Kluyveromyces lactis: one gene and its partners. The protein of the gene in region 1 interacts with the protein of each later gene in a pairwise test. Links are inferred from orthologs where the notes say so. Each region holds a gene or a part of one and is shown in the gene's direction. Other genes may lie near its edges. The genes, in order: LSM8, NOG2, LYS9, PIH1, MTR3, KLLA0_F03707g and PCF11.

Region 1 (1,953 bases):
GCCTTGTTATGAACTATATTATAAAAACTTCATTGACCCGAACACCGCGTTCGGCAAAACAAATCTTACCATTGCCATCGATGCCGACAGAAATGTGGTCAATCATTTCATTTCGCACTCTTGAACTTCTTCCCAGGGGATTAATACCCTGAGTCGTTGTGTCTGGTTTTGATTTAGGTGTTGAGATTCAGGCGTAGCGATAGATTCATGTCTCAATCTTTTCTCAAGCAACGCCTGCCTCTTGCTAGCTAACCTCATATCTTCATGCAACGTCTGGATGGCATCCGTGAGGTCTTGCATTTGTTGCACGACATTGAACATGACATTTTCATTCATGGTAAATCTGTCCATCCATTCTCGATGTCGTTTATCCATCTGCTTCGTAATATTATCCGCTAAAAGTTGCAAACTTTCACCGCTTGATGCCTTTAATTGATCCAAACGAGACTTTACTTCAGAGACAATCTCCGTTCCCGTTTCTTGATTACCATCTAAATACACACAGAAATAACGGCGACTTCTCGGAGTCTCATCCGTTATTTTCCTAGTTAGTAAAAACTGACCGTAGTGACTCTTACAAAGAATCATTCCTAAAGGGTATCAATCAACGACCAATCCACGTAGATAGAACTAAGTAAATGCCCTTATACTAAGTAGATATTCCTTTCATTGTGCATAGAAACCATACCTTTTCTACTGTCAAGTTCTGCTTGGAATAACTTTCGCGAATGGCTCAATTCATCCACGTTCTCCTTGATAATCTTGAATAGACTCTCAGACGTGTCCCGCAACTGCACAGTCTCCAACTCTAGACGACTAGTCCATTCTAAGATCTGTTTGTCGGCGTCTGGAATCTTTTTAAAGGGAGAAGACCCGTAATCGGTCTCACTTTCATTCTCTTCCGCCATTTCAACCGTGATTCGGAGCTTCTAACAATATTAGCCACAACACAACTCTAGATAACTGCTGTAGAAGCCTGTATACTTCTGTTATGATGTGTGATTCTTCTTTGTTGAAGATGTTGTTGTTATTGATAATAGAGAATCTTCAAATAGAAAACATTACTTTCAAATTATAATAGTAACGAAGAAAAGATAACGATCCATCGGAGCGAAGATATCCACATAACTGCCCCCTTGTTTGCTAGAACAGTGAATGGACAATGAGTGCTCTATTGAAAGATTATTTGGACAAGAAGGTGATGTTGGTCAATGTCGATGGAGACACATACTATGGTGAAATGAAAGGGTTTGATCATGCGGGAAACATGATTCTTTTAAAGGACAGCAAGATATGCATTATACGGAGTAGTGAAGTGGTATTATGTGGGCTGATAGATGATATACCAGAAGAAAAAGAACTGGCAAAACTTCAGAAGTTCCCAGCGTGTAAGAATAAGTTACCGTTTAAAGAAGAAATAGACATTTGGAGTGAGCGATGGGCTAACAGATGAAATATAAATAATGTTATACACAGCTGCTGGTCTCCCTTTCATTGACCGAGTTCTTTCATTTTGAGAGCTACTTCAAAGAGGTAATCGATGGACTCGATGTATATCTTGGCTTTCTTTGGCGTGGGGCCCCAAACGAAGAGTCCATGTCTTTTCACCAGTACCGCACATGCATTTGGATAATCCTTAATCATTTGCTTCAACGCTGGCATGAGATCCTGTTCTTCTGGAGCGTTATCGATGATTGGAATACGTAGGGTATCAACGTTCCTCAAATTGGTACCGTCACCTTTGGGTATCGCCTTGATTTGTTCAATGTCCTTGATGGTAAACTCCTTCTCATATATCATTGAACAAAGCACCGCATTGATAGAGTGCGTGTGTATGACGCACGAGGCACCCAGCGTCTTGAATAGCTCCAGGAATAACGGTGTGCACGCAGAGGGTTTCAATCCAGGCGCACCACATTGATAAGTATCGTCCTGTATATTGTATTTAACAAT
Region 2 (4,003 bases), on another chromosome or scaffold:
ATCTCCGGCCATACAGGCTGCAAACACCGGCTACAGACCCGTTACTTCATTGTGGTATCGGTCCGTCGTCCAGTACGATTGGTTCCCATTTCTTCTGTACAGTGAGTGCCATACTGAAAAATTTGGAACTAAAGCGATGAGATGAGATGAGATGAGATGAACCATATACATGAGAGAAGAGACAACAGACCACAAGGTTCAGCAGGTTAACTAAGGACAACAATAACACGATGAGCAAGGAGTACAGCGATGTGGATGATTTTGCGTCAGACGAAGAAGAGGACAACCAAGTGTTGATCACTGGGAAGGATGCGAAGAAGAATGTGATTCAGTTTGATCAAGAAGAGGACGAGGAAGAGCAAGAGGAAGAGGACGAGGAAGTACAGGATGAAGAAGAACCGGAGGATAAGGTAGTACAACTCACAGAACAGCAGATAGAGAAAGAAAAGCAGAGACGACTCAAAAAGCTTAAGAGCGATAAGAAGACGAAACACAAGACCGGTGTGGTTTACCTATCGAGGGTTCCACCGTACATGAAACCAGCCAAGCTAAGGCAGATTCTCACAAGATTCGGTGAAGTGGACCGTCTGTTCTTGAAACGTGAAGAGGAGCACAAGCACCAGCAGCGTGTCAAGAGTGGTGGGAACAAGAAAACGATGTTTGAAGAAGGTTGGGCCGAGTTTATCAGAAAGAAGGACGCTAAACTGTGCGCATCGACTCTAAACGGTAATATTATCGGTGGTAAGAAGGGAAATTTCTACCATGACGACGTCATGAACGTTAAATACTTGCCCGGGTTCAAATGGGCCGATTTGACAGAACAAATCGCTAGAGAAAACGATATCAGACAAGCAAAGCTACAATTGGAAATCTCACAGGCCAACAAGTTGAACGCAGAGTTCATCCATAACGTAGAGAAATCAAAGATGGTCAACAAGATGAAACAGAGCAAGAAACGTAACCAACAAGAATCACAGCAGGTCGATGAAGAAGTTCGCAGGACTTTCAAACAGAGGAAAGTCGCTTCGACAAGAGCATCTGCTCCAGATTCTCAGAGACAATCCCAACCGCAATCGAAAGCACTCAACGATGTCATGCATAGTTTATTCTAAGATGACTATATAACACATATATAAAGCATATAGCCAAGCCAAAAGCCCTACAGAGAGTACAACTCATCGCCTGCCATTCCCATGGTCAAAGATCAGGTTTCTTTTTCATTCCCATAGTGTAAGAAAAAGTGAAAAGAAAAAATTTTCCAGCTCATCTCATCTCATCTCATGAATTGGAACAGGAACAAAGGCAGGTTCATCAGTGGTTTGTTTCGATTCAGGTTGATCTCAGTCCAGGCAAGAGACATTCAGTTACTTATTCTTCCATCTGTTTGAGTTTTCGATCGAAATTGAACGTGTTCGTTACCACAAAGAACGAACAAACGAACGAACCAAAGGAAACCTAATTGAAATCTATACCAAGGCACAATGGGTACCGGTAAGAAGGAAAAGCAAAGGAGAATCCGCGAAGGTAATACCAAGGATGGTAACCTTCGTGTGAAGGGTGAGAATTTCTACAGGGACACCAAGAGAGTGCAGTTTTTGAACATGTACAAAGGTGGTAGATCTGTTCGTAATGCAAAGGGTGACATTATCAAGGCTGCTCCGTTGCAGGATACTGCTGCTCCAACAGCAAGAGTGGCTCCTGACCGTAGATGGTTTGGTAATACCAGAGTTATTTCTCAGGATTCATTGAGCCATTTCAGAGAAGCTTTGGGCGAGAACAAGCGTGATTCTTATCAGGTGCTATTGAGAAGAAATAAACTTCCGATGTCGTTGTTGAACGAAAAGGATTCCGCTGAATCTCCAACGGCAAAGATTTTGGAGACAGAGCCCTTTGAACAAACTTTTGGGCCTAAGGCTCAGAGGAAGAAACCAAGAATCGCTGCGTCGTCGTTGGAAGAGTTGATTTCAAGTACTTCTACCGATAATAAGACTTTTGAAGAAAAGCAAGAATTGGATTCTACTCTGGGGCTTATGGGTAAGCAAGAGGAAGAAGACGGTTGGACGCAGGCAGCAAAGGAAGCCATTTTCCACAAAGGTCAGTCGAAACGTATTTGGAACGAATTGTACAAGGTTATCGATTCCTCCGATGTCGTCATCCACGTATTGGATGCTAGAGATCCTTTGGGGACTCGTTGTAAATCGGTGACTGATTACATGACCAATGAGACTCCTCATAAACATTTGATATACGTCTTGAACAAGTGTGATCTTGTTCCTACATGGGTTGCCGTATGTTTTAAACTTTCTTTTTAATCTTCAGTGATTACTACTAACCGATTATACTTTCTAACTGGGAGTGAATACCACAGTATCTTGAGAATACCAAAATTCTTTGTCAGGGTGTTTCTGCGTACATTCTAGTACAACTTACACATACAGAAGGGCCTGTTACAGTTTTGGAAGAGCAATACTACCCACCCTCGATCTATCCATCGTTTTGATGGAGTCATGGTTGAAACCTAGTTGAACAATCTTCGTTTTGAGGATATATCAGCGCTTTTATTTCGGGTACGGAGGAACTTAAGAGTTGAGCTTTGGATCTGAAAAGAATTATTATGCCATGGCTCGTAGTAAAGAACCTCACATCACCACTAATATACTCAATACAGCATGGAGTCAACCCCCAGTAGAAAGCATAATTGGTTATTGATTCACATATGTGATTACAATTTTACTAACACGATTTTCCCTATTTTTGATTCTCAACAGGCAGCATGGGTAAAACATCTATCGAAGGAACGTCCCACATTGGCATTCCATGCCTCTATTACCAATTCATTTGGTAAGGGTTCGTTAATTCAACTTCTACGTCAATTCTCACAACTGCATAAGGACAGACATCAAATCTCTGTTGGGTTCATTGGATATCCAAACACCGGTAAATCCTCAATCATCAACACTCTAAGGAAAAAGAAGGTCTGTCAAGTGGCACCTATTCCTGGTGAAACTAAGGTGTGGCAATACATAACTTTGATGAAGAGAATCTTTTTAATCGATTGTCCCGGTATTGTACCGCCATCCAGCAAGGACAGTGAAGAGGATATTCTATTCAGAGGTGTGGTAAGAGTTGAACACGTTTCGCATCCTGAACAATACATTCCAGGTATTCTAAAACGTTGTAAGAGACAACATTTGGAAAGAACCTATGAGATCTCCGGATGGAAAGACTCTGTAGATTTCATCGAAATGATTGCAAGAAAGCAAGGTAGACTATTGAAAGGTGGTGAACCAGATGAAAGCGGGGTATCGAAACAAATCTTGAACGATTTCAACAGAGGTAAGATCCCATGGTTCGTACCACCACCAGAGAAGGACAAGATTGAGGAAAAGGAACCTGGTGATAAGAAACGTCCTGCAGAGGAAAATCAAGAAGATCAAGAAGAGGAAGAGAAGGAGCAAGAGGAACAAGAAGAACCTGTTTCTAAAAAGGCCAAAAAGGAATAAACCAAACACTTCCTCAATATTTAATTCTCTCCAGACACGGGCATCGCTTTATATATAGACACACCATATACAATCTTATCGGATCTATCGTTTTTGTACATTAATATCAATCGGATGACTTAGGCTAAGTCTTGCACATAGAAATTTATTAAATAAATAGTAGAAAGGCTGGATAACACCGAACGTTGTGAAGCATGCAGATCAGGGGCAGAAACACTGGACAATGGACCCATTCGGGTCCACTGTCCATTGAGAAGTGGTGCCAGTGGTAATATCAACACCGTACACAATGACATTTCCCTCGAAAATTCTGTTTCTGCCAAAGAGGAACGAAACAGGAAAGCCTTTAGCATTAGATAAGGAAGAGACAGAGACATATATGGTTGGAATACGATTCAATTCTGATTTAAGAGTTGTCATTTAGGACTACTCCAGTAAGTACGATAGAATTTTAATGCAATCTCTTAATAGTCAGCTCGGAGGATTGCCAAATTCGGAGC
Region 3 (2,966 bases), on another chromosome or scaffold:
AGAGGCATTGCCGAACTGGTTCAAGTTCCAAAGAGACATTTGGGATCAACAGCATGCCGTTGAAGAACACAATCACTACAAAGAGAGTATATTTATATGATGATGCTCTAAAGTAATAAAAAAAAAACAAACACAGACACACGGCTGGTTACTGTTTCTGGCCTTCAAAATAGAAAGGTTGTGAATAAGGTAAGAACGATTAAATTCTTGATCAACAAATCCACTCTGTGGCCAGCCTCCTAACGCTTACAGGACGCTTTCGCATCATGTTGGAAAGAATTAAGAGTCGATATATGGGATTCGTTTACCATGGCTATCTAGAATAATACGTCACAGACATGGAGATAAAGTCCCATGCTGTTTAAGAAACAGAAAGAATATGTATGTGTACAAATATGTAATGTTGTAAAGTGGTGATGAGATGAGATGGGATGCAATTCTGCTACGGACCTTTTTAAAGTGAAAAATTTTTGAAAAATTTTTGTATGGGCGATGAGATGAGCTTTGAGATAAATACACGAAGTGTGTTCATGCCCTAAGGGGGTATGCCAGTGGTGGTGGTGGTGGTAGTGGCCTACACGCCACTACCACCAACTTGATTTCCCCATACCTCAACGTAAATCACGTGCATACCAACGTACACTGACTATCCCATACATGTCTTCAAGTCTTTATCGGAACTCAGTTCCCTCCTCATCGAGCTTCATTCAGTTTGTAGAATGACTAATAGATGGTGGGTTGTCCCCAGACCAGTGGTCCCCCCGTCTGGCTGTCTGGCTGTCTAGCTTTGCCGTTTCGATTGTACCTCGGCTGTCGAAATTCCAATGGAATTTCGCAAAACACATTGGTGAACCGGAACCTGTAAAATTCCATCTCAATGGCACATCGCTCGAGATGGATAACGACAGAGAGCAGGAATAGTGAGTTTTTGATGAGCTGCTACTACTGGTACTACTCTTGTTGATTTGATGATTTACTGACTTTTGTAATATATATATATATATATATATAGTGACTATATAAGTTGAGGTAACAGAATTGCAACCTGCTATCTTTCCTGCCATAATAGACAGATCATCATCTCTTCAAGAAAATACTCTTTCTGTGATCGCAACCAACGTATTAACGATGTCTAAAGTTTTACTTCTTGGATCTGGTTTTGTTGCTCAACCTGTTGTCGACGTTTTGTCCGCTACTGATGGTATTTCAGTCACCGTCGCTTGTAGAACTTTGAACAAAGCTCAAGCTTTGGCCAAAGCTTCTGGTTCTAATGCCATCTCATTGGACGTTTCCGATCCAAAACAATTGGACGCTGCATTGGCTGACCACGATTTGGTGATCTCATTGATCCCATACACTTACCATCCAGCTGTGGTTCAATCTGCTATCAGATTGAAGAAGAACGTTGTTACCTCTTCATACATTTCCGATGCCTTAAGAGAATTGGAACCTGCTATCAAGGAAGCTGGTATCACCGTCATGAACGAAATTGGTTTGGACCCTGGTATCGACCATTTGTACGCTGTCAAGACCATTGACGAAGTGCACAAGGTTGGTGGTAAGATCAAGTCGTTTGTGTCGTACTGTGGTGGTCTACCAGCTCCAGAAGATTCTGACAATCCATTGGGTTACAAGTTCTCTTGGTCTTCAAGAGGTGTCTTGTTGGCATTGAGAAACAGTGCTAAGTACTGGAAAGATGGTAAGATCGAGACTGTGTCATCCGAAGATTTGATGGCCTCAGCTAAGCCTTACTTCATCTACCCAGGTTACTCTTTCGTATGTTACCCAAACAGAGATTCCACTTTGTTCAAAGAATTGTACCATATTCCAGAAGCTGATACCGTCATCAGAGGTACTCTAAGATATCAAGGTTTCCCAGAATTCGTGAAGGCTTTGGTCGATATCGGTATGCTAAAGGACGAACCAAACGAATTGTTTGCTTCTCCACAGCCTTGGAACAAGGCTCTTGCACAATACTTAGGTGCTGCTTCAGAAAAGAAAGAGGATCTAATTAAGGCCATCGATTCAAAGACACAATGGAAATCAGACGACGATAGAGAAAGAATCCTTTCTGGTCTTGCTTGGTTAGGTTTGTTCTCTGACAAGCCATTCAACGCTAGAGGTAATGTCTTGGACACCTTGTGTGCTACTCTAGAGGAATTGATGCAATACGAAGAAGGTGAAAGAGATTTAGTCGTCTTGCAACACAAGTTCGGTATCGAATGGGCCGACGGAACGACTGAAACTAGAACCTCTACTCTAGTGGACTACGGTAAGGTCGGTGGATACTCCTCAATGGCTGCTACTGTCGGTTACCCAGTCGCCATCGCTACTAAATTCGTCTTGGACGGTACCATCAAGGGCCCAGGTTTGGTTGCTCCATACTCTCCAGCTATCAACGATCCTATCATGAAGGAACTAAAGGAGAAATACGGTATTTACCTAAAAGAGAAAACCATTGCTTGAAGCACTCATATACGTTGGTTTGAAATCTAAAGAATGCTCTCTCTGGTAGTGAATTGCATGATTCTTTTTCCCATCTTCTATATATATTAACGTGTACGTATGTATATCAACAAAGTAGCTATATTGCTTTAAATCCCGTTATCTTTGGAGTTACTATTTGTGGCACGTATCGTACTGGTGGGTGTTGTCTATAGTGTGTTATTGGAGTGTTCTTTTTGTATCAGTTACAGTTTGGCATCTCTTCTCATATAATTATAATTAGTTACATATTATAATACTCTCAACAACTACTTGTAAGAAAACATACAGGACTAACAAGGATCAACTGAACGAAGCGAATCAGAACATTTGTCCATCGGTATACTTTACATATTCAGCAGTGAAACATCTTTGGAGCCGATCATGTCGAATAGCAATGGGTCCGGTAATCTGTGGAGCAAAGTGAAGTCAGGAACGAAATCGTTATCCTCATCCATTCAACATCTAGCAGTAAAAACTGA
Region 4 (2,785 bases), on another chromosome or scaffold:
GCCAAATTCCACATAGGTTTCCAGCTGCAAAATAATCTTTTAAAGTGGAACATTGAAGAGAACATGGGATACCAACAAATCAGAGTTTCCTTTCTCCAAAATTTGCAATAAACCAGTAGCATTAAGGCCATAAACCAGTGCGATATGGCGATACCTAGAGGAGCACCAGCATATCCAATGTAACGAGTAAATGAATACACTAGAATAATATTAACTGGAACTGTAATCAACAAGGAGTATGTTCCTGCTTGGAAATGGCCCTGTGATTGAAGGAATCTCTTACCAGTTTCGAAAAAAATCAGCCCTGGCAACCCAAACGATATTATTCTCAAGAAAAGTTGTATCTCTGGGAGGATATCCTGTTCAGCAATCACATAACCTAACCATGAAGCACTGAACCACCATGATATAATCACAGGGAAAATACCTGTCATTATCATCGCTGCACAACGGAATGAATATAAACCAACTTTTGCATATTTCTTGGCACCATACGCTTGTGAGCAAAAGGTATCCAAAGAAGTGGCCATACCCTCCACAAATGCTAAACCAGTAATATTGTAAGTCATTACCGCCAAAGATGCGGAAGCTAAGGCATCACTTGATTTACAGACATGACCGATGACAAATAAAGAAATAATAGCCAAAGAGTATTCCATTAGAAAAGTTAATGTAATTAGAGCGGAGTTGCTTAAGATATAGGAGACTTCATTCCTAGAGCTTGTTGGGGCAGTAAGATCCTCTATGAAGTCTTCGTCAATAAAGTCATCGCGATCTGCATCTGGACTCATTAGTCGATATCGATTGTCTATGGCATCGCCAGAAGATGCAGATTCTCCATCACTTTCATATCTAGTATTGTCATTGATTGTATCGTATCGCGGTCTATCCATAGAGTCACAGAGATACTCACTCTCTTGATTCATGTCTAGTTGTTTCAACTAACCTGTAATGCCCTTCTTTATCTTAAAACCAGTTTGAATGTCCATTAACAGTGGAATGAAAAAAACTAATCTCCAGAATTAAAGGTATTAATACCCAAAATGTTGTATTGAGCCAGGCAGTATGGATTGAACGGCCACCGAGCACGTTCCGATGACACGAACCTTTTATTCGTCTTGGTGTACATATAATTGATCCTTATCTACGTTGAAAAAGCACTAGTTTTGATAATCGCTAATAAGAATTTGATTGTGAAATTCTATATTATCGCTTAGCAGATAACTGCGATAGGAACAAAAAAAACAAAAGAATAAGAAAGTACATACCGTCAATTAGGTGCAATGTCATTTCTTCTTCGACCATTGAATGATAGCAGCTCGAACAACTCCAACAACGTTATAAGAATAAGCCCAGAACCATGTTTTGTCGTAAAATCTAAGGTAATAAACCCTGGTACTACATCGCTATCAAGCAATGCAAAGATATTCATCAACATTTGCCATAATGACCAGATACCCTTACCTGAAATCGATTTCAACCCCGCCATAGTATATCCCCTAATAATCAACAACCAATGGGAAATACCAATCGTAACCTCCTCAATAAGGGAGGATGTTGACAAAAAGGGCAACGTCTGCTACGTGAGCGATTGTTGTATAAACACCAAATGCGTTTCATGGATCCAGCATGATTTACAACTAAGAGAAATCGTAGTTGAATGGTGCTTAGAATCCTGTGAATTGCGAGCGGAGCTCGAAATATCAAGGGATAATATAAGTTTCCCTAAGCTGAAGAAGAAAGGTGATACTATACCTGAACTAGAAATACTGCGAGAAGACCTAACAGAGAATTATGAAGAAACCATCAATGATTTGGTAAATAGGGAACAAAAAGAACCTGTTAGTATTATCGAAAAGAGGCGAGACTTTCTTGCAGAAGACGAACCTTCGACGGGTGAACTGCCGCCATTAATTCCTATCGACCAATCTTCCCGTAGAAAACCTTTAATAGAGGAAATCGAGGATCTTTCACTGCATGAAACCAAGAAACCCAAGGTTGAAGAAATACAAAAAAAAAGTATATCATATGAACTTAGTATGGGCAAACCCAAAGACACCTCAGAGTTTCTCTTAAAGATAGAAGTGACCTCGGAGCTTAACTCTAGTCTTGATTACAATATCAAATATGATGCTAAAAGTAATAAACTCATCATAAAGAATACTAATCTAGGTATTTATCCCGAGAAGAAACTCAAGGTTCCATTACCTGATATATTTAATAATCCTCCAAAATTAGAGTGTTTCTTTGTGAAGCCTGAGCGCAGATTAATAATATTTTTATAAAATCTCAATATGGCCGTATATATATATAAATTGATGCAAGATGTTCGATTATCTATATATGCTTTTATTAAAGGGCTACGTGTATGAGAGTTAAACGTAACATGTAAAGTATATTTTCATTCACTTTAGGTTAATGAGGAGGGAATGCTAAATTTTCCCTATGAGCTACGTATTCACTATCAGCATAGCCTAGAATATCTTCAATCTGATCACTTTGCAGACCTTTAATTTTTGATAACTCTGTGCTTGTATAGTTGCAACGAGCCCTACCTACTGTTTTCAGTGCAACGGATTTATCCAAATTTCCATCTGAATCCCTGACTCCCAATTTTATATCTATACATTCATGTTCATGGAAGCTCCCTTGGACTTCAATAACGCCTGCAGGTAACAAACCAGCTTTGTTTTTCCTCGTTAACGCTTCGTATGCACCAATGTCTATAATTACAGCGCCTTGACTGACGAGTCCATGAAGCATCCAGAATTGTCTGTTCTTCAAG
Region 5 (2,413 bases), on another chromosome or scaffold:
TACATTAAGTTCAATATACTCGTTGTTCCCTATGTAAAGATGTATGTTGGCCTTATTCAACGGCTTTCTGCCTTGATGTTCTTGTTTTTACGATTCAATCTCTCTTAGATTGTTAGTTTTTGTTCAAGAAAAAAGATTGTAGGTTAACTGTCATTCATGATATTCTGTCCTACTGCAACTTGTTTGAATCAATGGACATTCCAAGTTATATGGTTAGACTTTGAGCAATATTCGCAGAGTAGTTTGATTTTAATCAGAGTCCTGGGCTATTGGTGGGGTGTAATATCAAAAATCTTTATAATTTCTGCCAGATGCCTGGAAGAAACGTTACACTAACAGAGTCGGTTTAATTCAAAAATGTACTTTGGTCATCCTTTTCTTCGGTGGTTCAACCAATGAACGAATGACTTGCCTTGATTCTTGAAACCTATGCATGAAAGAGCTTCTGGTGAGAGCATTAGCGAGGGTTCGGCTTTCGATCTGGTCCAAGTGAATAGCTTCTGACTTTGTCTTGATGATACACCCAGAAACGATACTGGCTTTTGTATGTACGACTGGCAAGGCGGGTTAGAGTGGGGTGTTTTAGTTGCCAAATCCCAGGTTGTGAGGGGGGGGTCTCCGTCTGCCCCTCCACCGGTTTGCGAAAACGGTCACCTGGCATGAACCGGAAACAAGTGCTGTTTGGAAACATATGAGAAACATATGAGAAACACCAGTTAGTCACGTGGTTATATAACTTCACAAAGCAGTTCTCTCCGTTTCCTTCTGACGTATGAGGTGATGAGCCGAAAGCTAGTACACGACTCTTTTTCAGAAATACGGATCTATTACTATTTACTGGTTTGACAATACCGGGCGACAGCCACTTCTTCTGTTTAGAAATCATTTCACACGTACTGATCGTCGGTTGATTTGTAAAAAAGTTCCAATGCTGCCTGCCGATAATTTGGAAACAAGTACGGTACGGAAACAAACGGGAAACAAATAGGAAACACATATATATTATCACGTGATGACGTTAGAATTTTTCCATCTCGACTATTTCAATCGTGGTATTCTGTTAGTGACCGTTTTGCAAGTGAATATACATGCGATGAGATGCTTCCAAGTTGACGTTGGCTAGTGCCATATCAGCATATATTTACTTGAGTTTGTTTCCCATCGTTATATTAAACTAATACCCACAGAAGAGAGGTCTATTAATGAGTGTGCAAGATAGAAGAAGAATATTAGGGCCAGCAGAAGCGAAGCCATTGCAGTTTGCTGCAATTACTCCTGTAAGAACCGTAGAGAACAGGGACGATGGTAATGGTAATAAATCGGGTAAGGAATCTGTGTTCATTAGTACGGATTTAGTAACGAATGCAAATGGTTCCTCATACCTAGAATATATGGATGGTACTTCGGATCAAGTTCTCGTAATGAGTTCTGTCTTCGGACCCAGGCCATTGCGAGGCTCCTTCCAATCTAAGGCATCAGTATCGATTCAGTTCAAAGAAGTTACGTTAGAACATTTGAATACCGGAGAAATTAAAGAAATTTGTACTTTCCTAACAAATGTCTTTAATGCGGTGATAAACGTTGAGAAGTATCCAAAATCTGGTATTGATATCTTTATAGATTTGATCCAGCATTCTAATAGTAATCCAACAGAGGAGGCAAATATCGTTAATATTCTACCCACATGCATTAATTCTATTACCATGGCTCTTGTAGACGCAGGTATTGAAATCATTGATTTAGTGAGTGCCGGGTCAAAAGATAACTCTGTGGTTGCGTTTATTAGGAATGGACATGAAATCGTCGGTATTTGGAGCGATGACGATAACGTCACTGACATATCAAAATTAATAGAAGAGTGCAAGGCAAAATATTTGGTAAATAAGCAGACTTTGGTTCAATATCTTAAATGAAATGAAATGGTTAACGTAATTTCATAGTGATTCATAATTAATGTGACACGAACGCTTCTTCTGTATTAGCAAAATAAAAATATACAAGGCTTTACCATTAAGGGTGAGGATTCGTTAGAAACATATCCTATTTATACATGGGTTGATACTTTAGATATAGTTAAGTACAATAGAATGCGATTTATTCCAAGTTATCTAACACTTGCTTGATTTGCCATACTTTTTTGGTGATAATATCGATATCAAAATTGGTACGTTTCATGTAAACAACGGAAACATCGGTGTCCATAGTAGACTTATACCAGTTTTGTAATGTTTTCCCAGTGAAATATTTGTTCCTATTCAAATCAAATTTATTATCATTGATTAGAACACCACATTGTTTCAAGAACTGCTTCGTGGTAGCAATTAATTGGTCCACGTCTTTTACAGTTTCTTTAAATTGAGGGAATAATAACTTGAAAGGTTTCGAGATCATAACAACATCGTGACTGTTAGCA
Region 6 (2,647 bases), on another chromosome or scaffold:
TGAAAATGACCGGATTTTACGGTCATTTCTTCAATAGATCTTCAGACTTGTGCGCTTTGGCTACGGTTCCAAGGGACCAATCATACGTTTTTGAAATTGGTATCGATGAACAATTAACAAAGGACTTTGTGTACATTCAAATTGCTTTATTATTGACATCCAATGCTGCCCAAAGAAGAATTAGAGTCATAACTATTGGTATTCCAACTACTGATAAGCTAACTGAAGTCTATGCTTCTGCAGATCAGTTGGCCATCACAGCATACTTCGCTCAAAAGGCTGTGGAAAGAGCTCCTTCTTCTGGCTTTGAAGACACTAGAGAATTTTTCAACAAATCTGTCCAAGAGGTTTTGGCTACATACAAGAAAGAAGTTTTGACTTCAAACACAGGTGGCGGAGCTCCATTAATGCTCTGTAGTAACCTAAGAATGTGGCCTCTATTGATGCATTCTCTAACTAAACATATGGCTTTCCGTTCTGGTATTGTTCCGGCTGATCACAGAGCTCAAGCATTAAATAATCTTGAAACGTTACCATTGCCATATTTGATTCAAAACATTTATCCAACAGTATACTCCTTACATGACATGCCTGACGAAGCTGGTCTTCCCGATGAAGAAACTGGTGAAATTGTACTACCGCAACCAATTAACTCCACCTCGTCTTTATTGGAAAGATACGGTCTGTATTTAATCGACACAGGATTGGACATGTTCTTATGGATTGGCGGTGATGCTGTCCCAGAGCTTGTTACAGACGTGTTTGGAACCCCGGACATTATGGAAATTCCAATTGGTAAAAATGAACTACCTCTATTAGACGCTACTGAGTTCAACCTAAGAGTGAGGAATGTTATTACAAAGATAAGAGAACACGATGATGTTATCTTCTACAAAACCTTGCACATTGTCAGAGGCGCCTCACCAAGTGAACCAATGAACCATCCTTCTGCCAGGGAAGTTGCTTCTCTAAGATTATGGACTGCATCTCAGTTGGTCGAAGATAAGGTCCAAAACAGCTGGAACTACAGAGAATTCTTACAAAACATGAAGACAAGAATCTCGAAGTAAGTTTAAAAGGTGCTTCCAAGTTGCGTACATACCATTTTTTATGTAGATATTGAAACCATGAAATAGCAAAATCTTACTTTGCACACAACCTTACACAAGTGATATGTATAACATAAGAATACATGTTTGTCATTACAAACTATCTGTGGCTACTTTCGACTGTCTGTCATCTTACACCTATTGCCAATATGCTAAAAAAAATATACATGTATATATAAGATCAAAAAGTTAGTCAAAATATGACGATACGAGGAGATGAGATGTAATCTGCGTATCTTTTCATCATCATCTCAGGAACACCTTGCAAAGCTCAACAAATCAATCATGTCTGGTTTGAGAGTTGTTTCGAGAAATGAGCTCTTTGATACCACGACTAACGTTACAGCGACTGATGATCGTGTAGTGCTGCCGAAGCTTGATCTAGAATTCGTCGACGTTCAAACTCAACAAGAAGACAATATAAAGTCGGACAGAAATGATGAATCGGATGTTAACAATTCCGCAGAAGAGTTTGAATTCCCACTATTCTCTTTTGGAACCATTACCGATTCAACAACCCCCGCGAATGATGTTGGCGAAAGTGTACAGACAGATGAAAACAGAGGTAGAAAGGCAACGGCCCTAATAAAGGTCAGCCTTCGTGAACCGAGTCCAGACTCAGCTCCAATAGGTAGAGCAAGAACGTATTACTGTGCAGAATATTCAGAGCAGGACAGACATAACTTTTCTGCAGCCGCAGTGTCTGCAGATGTAATATTAAAATATGCTGAGCTGGGACCGTATCCCGGATGGCTTCAGTTCAGAGGAAAAGTAATAGATGTAGATGAGCATAATCGTAAAGTCCACACAGAGCAGGTTCGTATCAGGCATTTACGGAGAAAAAGGCCAGGTAAAAGGCAGAGAATGGCAAGATTACACGGTAAAGAGAGAGAAGATCTGAGGAAGCAAAGAGATTCAGAGATAAAGAAGCTACTAAAGAAGAAGTTCCATAAGCGTGGGGGAAAGAAAAACAAAAAGAAGGCTACGAACCCCCTTGCAGATGCAGGTGCTATAAGTAAGGCGAAGGCTAAACCATAAAGGACCAGTCTTGTTACTCTATATATACAAATATAAGCCTGATTTTTATTTCCTGTTTGTATCTAATATACTAACGGCTTTCAAGATATACTGCAGTTCGCCTTGTAGTTCATTACTAGGGTCATTTTCACCGAAGCATTTACTAATGGCTTCATATATTAGATTGGAATTGCTTTGCAGAGATTTCCCGACAGGTCCACCGCGATTGTAGGACATTTCGAAATCTCTTTTGAAACTATTAGTGACTTTTGACCAAAATTGATCGATCAACGAGGAAAATTTCCTTTGAGATAGGTAATTGCGAAGAGTGTTCGTATTTCCTTCAATCTCACATTCTTCCATTAAGTTCTGTAAAGTGAGTATCGAGTTTCTATTTTCCATGGCATCATCTAATGACAGGTTGAAGTTTCTAATGGATGTGATGGTCTTAGATAGCACTTGAGCCGTCGTTTGAATTTTTGAACTGAGTACTTTGTCAATTGTATCAAAAAGATCTACTG
Region 7 (3,710 bases), on another chromosome or scaffold:
TATACATATAGAAAAAAAGAATTGAATAGTAGCAATTAATAACATTATTTACATGAATTTGTATTTGAATCCAAGGTTTATTTCTTAGAGACCAAGTTATCAAAGATTGGAATCAAAGTTTGAGCCAGAGCGAAGGAGAACACTAACTTTGGACCGGTGGTCAGTAGCTTAGGAGTCAAACCCTTGAAGAATGCAGTGAAACCTTCGTTCTTCAAAGTGTTCTTGATAATTTTGAAACCACTCTCTGGGTTATCAAAGTTTCTATTTTGAATTCTGGTCTTGATAACATCCAATGGTGCACTGACAATTAATGAAGCAGAAGCACCAACAATCGAAGAGACGAAGTTCTGACTCCAAGTAGCTTGACCGTAATCCTTCAAACCCAAGATATATTCCTTGGCGAAGGCGTTACCACCGAATAAAGCGAAAGAACCTGGAGCGTTTCTGGCAGCGGTCCAACCCCAACCACGGTACAAACCAAACCCTTCATCCTTGATGATCTTTAGGAAACCTCTACCCTTGAAAGACTCTGGGTTAGTTTGTCTCTTGATCTTCAAGACATCCAATGGCAATAGCACAATTTCACCGATACCGATCAAAGAACCGGCAGTAGCAGATCTCAAGGCTTTACCGGTCTTTTCACCAAAAGCTTGATCGAAATCACCCTTGAAGTTCTTGTTCAAAAACTCATTGGCAAATGGTTGACCACCGTACTTGTAAACACGTTGCAAGATCTTATAGGCAGCAGCGTACCCCAAACCAGGGAACAAAGACAACAAACGTCTACCCAATGGTTCAGATGCAAAGTCACGGAAAATAACACTGTTCAATTGAGAGGTCGAGGCAATCTTGGTATGGTTTGACATCAATCTCTTGGAAATAGTGTCCACAGGATGGAAAACACCAATTTCCAAGATACCAGCAGAAGCTGAACCTAAGACACGGGCCAAACCCGATTGTTTCTTATCGTTGGTAGTCATCTTTTTTTCCAGCTCTTCTTAGTTCAAATGGATAAGAAATTAAAAGAAAGACCCTTTTCACCTAGTGAGATTCCTGCTTCTACTCTTAATAAACGTTGTTGAAAGTTTCGCACGAGAAAGAAAGGAGCCAGATGCACGTAAAGGCAAGATAGATAAAAACAGTGATGATTCATTCTTGAAAGAATCTTTGATCGATATCTCGAAAGGTTTTTTTTAAAAGAAAAAAGTGTGGTTTCGTTACCCGGATCTGGTGATGTTTTCGGTTTTTCTTTCAACCGAGCAAAACGTTACAAGATGCAGGATTAGGATAAGGAAACCTTTAAAGACGATGAGCAGAGGCAAGGAATAGAGGCCGTATGATTCATTATTTGAGCGCTTACTAGTATCCAGAGGCTTAGTTTGTGGTAATAGTAATTGTTTGCTATATTTTGGTACACTTTTTTCCGAGTTTTGTTGGGATTTCTCTATGAGTTCTGAAGATGGTTCTAATGCGTTAGAGGAGTTTAAGACCACTTTGGATGGTCTTACGTTTAACTCTCGGCCTATAATTACTACCTTGACGCAGTTAGCAGAGGAACATATGAGTTTAGCACAAGAGTTTGTGGGTTTGATTGAAAATAGACTGGAGAAATGTGTTCCTAGTCAGAAGCTTTTCACTTTCTATGTAATGGATTCTATCTGTAAGAACGCTGGTTCTCCGTATACGATCTATTTCTCTAAGAATTTGCATAAATTGTTCCGTAAAACTTATTTACTTGTGGATAATCAGACTAGAACCAAGATGATTTCAATGTTCAAAACGTGGATGGTGCCATTGCCTGCAGGAGACTTGATGTTCGATCATAGTTCTTTGAACAGCATCGAGAATTTTTTGATTAAGGCTAGTGCGTTGCATCAGAAAAGTGCTACTCCGCCGGCGATACAACAACATACCGCTCACAACGGACCGGCTGGGTCGAATATTACTGTGAAATCGTTACTGTCGGATATTGATAAATTAGCGCTGATTACGCAGTCGAAGCTAGTAAGTACACCGGATGACGCCAAGTTGCAGGCAAAAGTAGCGATATTGAAGCAGTTGAGACAAGAGTTGCAGAAGGAACGGTTGGCACCGGAGTTTTTGTCGCAAGTTCATCAGCAGCTCAAACAGATTTTTGCGCAAGAACATCAACAGCAACAACAACAACAGCAGCAGCAGCAGTTGCCATTACAAAATAACTCTCAGTTTCTGCCGCCATCATCTCAAGGTTCTGTAAACAATGATATGTCTCGTGGCTCACTCCAGGCGAACGGTAACAACGGCTCGATGTTCGGAGGAAGCCTTCAATTTAATGCTCCATTTTTGAACCAACTGACCAACTCTAACCGTCTCAATAAGCTTTCTAGTTTGGTTAACATGTTGAGAGAAAAAGAGCTCTTGCATGAACCTGGAGAAGCATCTATTACTACCTTAGCTGCCAAATTAGAACCTGAATTTGATTCCTCCAAGACAGTGCAACTACCGTCATATTCACTTTTACAGGATATTCTAGGTGATCTAGAGGCGCAACGCCAGACGCAAAACCTAGATATTTTGAACGCATCTGTCCTTCAGCTTTCTCAACAGTTTGTTCTTAATGATAACCATCCAATTACGGAAAAGTTGGTACATTTCTTATATCGGGCAAAACCTAATAAATGTAGTATATGTGGTAAGAGATTTGGTAATACTCTTGAAGAAAAGGAGTTGGAAATACAACATCTTGATTGGCATTTCCGTGTCAACAAGAAGATTAAAGGTATCCAGTCCAACACCACTACATCTACCAAGGTCATTCAATCCAGGAATTGGTATTTGGATGAAAATCAATGGGCAGACTTTAAAGAAGAAGACATCATTGCAACAGATATTGATACTGGAGCTGCTGAACAGCAACCTACATTTGCGAACAACAGGGAAGATTCTACTGATGCAATCTATACTAAACTCAGGAATAAATATATTGTAGTACCGGATTATGCCACAGATATGAAGTTCCAGTGTCCTATTTGTACCGAATCCACATATGGTAAATATGATGAAGATCTGGGAGAATGGATTTGGAGCAACTGCGTACAGGTGGGAGACAAATTCTTCCATGCCACTTGTTATTATGAGGCAGCTAAAAGTCAACAGTCAAACACCTCCTCATCTCCATCATTCCAAAATCTTCAATTAGATCTTGGTATTTTTAACGAGCTGCTTCAATGAGTTGATGAATAGCTAGTGCTGATCAATTGTATATTCGAACTCTAGTTGGCTTATCGGCATGAATTTCGTACCATTTTCTTCTACAAATTTCGTTCTAAATGGAAGTACGAATATAATATAGTGCTATATGGTATTTATATATATATATACTTCCTAAATGTTACAACTGCATTATAGAAAACATATGCTATTTCATTACGGCTATCTATTGCATAGAAGTGCTTTGGATTTTGTTTTTCTTCTTACGGGAATTCTTTATCTCGACACGCTTTAATTCGGATCACGTTCCTTCGACTCAGCTTGGTTCTTCAAAATAGCGGTAAGTTTCTTGCGTTCCTTCAGTAACCGAACGATGGTTTCTTTGAGTGCGACGGGATCCTCCCCGTTAGGCCGAGGTTTATCGACTTTCTGGGATTTTGACGAATATTCTTCGTAACGGTCCACTTTTTCTTTAGACTGACTCAACGCTGTTTCAAGATCCTTGACTTTAGCTGTCATGT

Evidence for each region.
Region 2: the proteins of LSM8 (region 1) and NOG2 interact in a two-hybrid assay, tested with the Saccharomyces cerevisiae proteins (2 studies listed by BioGRID). The link is inferred for Kluyveromyces lactis from reciprocal best matches to the Saccharomyces cerevisiae genes LSM8 and NOG2.
Region 3: the proteins of LSM8 (region 1) and LYS9 interact in a two-hybrid assay, tested with the Saccharomyces cerevisiae proteins (2 studies listed by BioGRID). The link is inferred for Kluyveromyces lactis from reciprocal best matches to the Saccharomyces cerevisiae genes LSM8 and LYS9.
Region 4: the proteins of LSM8 (region 1) and PIH1 interact in a two-hybrid assay, tested with the Saccharomyces cerevisiae proteins (2 studies listed by BioGRID). The link is inferred for Kluyveromyces lactis from reciprocal best matches to the Saccharomyces cerevisiae genes LSM8 and PIH1.
Region 5: the proteins of LSM8 (region 1) and MTR3 interact in a two-hybrid assay, tested with the Saccharomyces cerevisiae proteins (3 studies listed by BioGRID). The link is inferred for Kluyveromyces lactis from reciprocal best matches to the Saccharomyces cerevisiae genes LSM8 and MTR3.
Region 6: the proteins of LSM8 (region 1) and KLLA0_F03707g interact in a two-hybrid assay, tested with the Saccharomyces cerevisiae proteins (2 studies listed by BioGRID). The link is inferred for Kluyveromyces lactis from reciprocal best matches to the Saccharomyces cerevisiae genes LSM8 and YNL050C.
Region 7: the proteins of LSM8 (region 1) and PCF11 interact in a two-hybrid assay, tested with the Saccharomyces cerevisiae proteins (2 studies listed by BioGRID). The link is inferred for Kluyveromyces lactis from reciprocal best matches to the Saccharomyces cerevisiae genes LSM8 and PCF11.

What each region holds. Positions count from the first base shown.
Region 1 is NC_006041.1:1,467,258-1,469,210, reverse strand, and holds LSM8 (U4/U6-U5 snRNP complex subunit LSM8), read left to right. Parts: upstream 1-1,162; coding exon 1,163-1,453; downstream 1,454-1,953. Other genes in the region: TDA10 (putative ATP-dependent kinase), read left to right, coding at 1-124; methylthioribulose 1-phosphate dehydratase MDE1, read right to left, coding at 1,492-1,953. UniProt on the Saccharomyces cerevisiae protein: Component of the nuclear LSM2-LSM8 complex, which is involved in spliceosome assembly. The LSM2-LSM8 complex plays a role in the biogenesis of the spliceosomal U4/U6-U5 tri-snRNP complex by accelerating PRP24-mediated annealing of U4/U6 di-snRNA.
Region 2 is NC_006039.1:1,670,945-1,674,947, reverse strand, and holds NOG2 (putative GTPase NOG2), read left to right. Parts: upstream 1-1,481; coding exon 1,482-2,288; intron 2,289-2,768; coding exon 2,769-3,503; downstream 3,504-4,003. Other genes in the region: RNA-binding ATPase activator ESF2, read left to right, coding at 231-1,112; CCR4-NOT core DEDD family RNase subunit POP2, read left to right, coding at 3,958-4,003. UniProt on the Saccharomyces cerevisiae protein: GTPase that associates with pre-60S ribosomal subunits in the nucleolus and is required for their nuclear export and maturation.
Region 3 is NC_006039.1:1,663,010-1,665,975, reverse strand, and holds LYS9 (saccharopine dehydrogenase (NADP+, L-glutamate-forming)), read left to right. Parts: upstream 1-1,128; coding exon 1,129-2,466; downstream 2,467-2,966. Other genes in the region: OCA4 (Oca4p), read left to right, coding at 1-100; KLLA0_C18755g (uncharacterized protein), read right to left, coding at 708-1,064; MSO1 (Mso1p), read left to right, coding at 2,869-2,966.
Region 4 is NC_006039.1:884,531-887,315, reverse strand, and holds PIH1 (Pih1p), read left to right. Parts: upstream 1-1,283; coding exon 1,284-2,285; downstream 2,286-2,785. Other genes in the region: ERC1 (Erc1p), read right to left, coding at 1-926; PRO1 (glutamate 5-kinase), read right to left, coding at 2,416-2,785. UniProt on the Saccharomyces cerevisiae protein: Involved in pre-rRNA processing and required for the NOP58-snoRNA interaction.
Region 5 is NC_006042.1:1,688,687-1,691,099, reverse strand, and holds MTR3 (exosome non-catalytic core subunit MTR3), read left to right. Parts: upstream 1-1,202; coding exon 1,203-1,913; downstream 1,914-2,413. Other genes in the region: CHO2 (phosphatidylethanolamine N-methyltransferase), read right to left, coding at 2,095-2,413.
Region 6 is NC_006042.1:350,139-352,785, reverse strand, and holds KLLA0_F03707g (uncharacterized protein), read left to right. Parts: upstream 1-1,325; coding exon 1,326-2,147; downstream 2,148-2,647. Other genes in the region: KLLA0_F03729g (uncharacterized protein), read left to right, coding at 1-1,070; Golgi transport complex subunit COG5, read right to left, coding at 2,193-2,647.
Region 7 is NC_006042.1:1,243,916-1,247,625, reverse strand, and holds PCF11 (Pcf11p), read left to right. Parts: upstream 1-1,446; coding exon 1,447-3,210; downstream 3,211-3,710. Other genes in the region: GGC1 (Ggc1p), read right to left, coding at 78-980; KLLA0_F13420g (chromatin-silencing protein SIR4), read right to left, coding at 3,481-3,710. UniProt on the Saccharomyces cerevisiae protein: Component of the cleavage factor IA (CFIA) complex, which is involved in the endonucleolytic cleavage during polyadenylation-dependent pre-mRNA 3'-end formation and cooperates with cleavage factor NAB4/CFIB and the cleavage and polyadenylation factor (CPF) complex.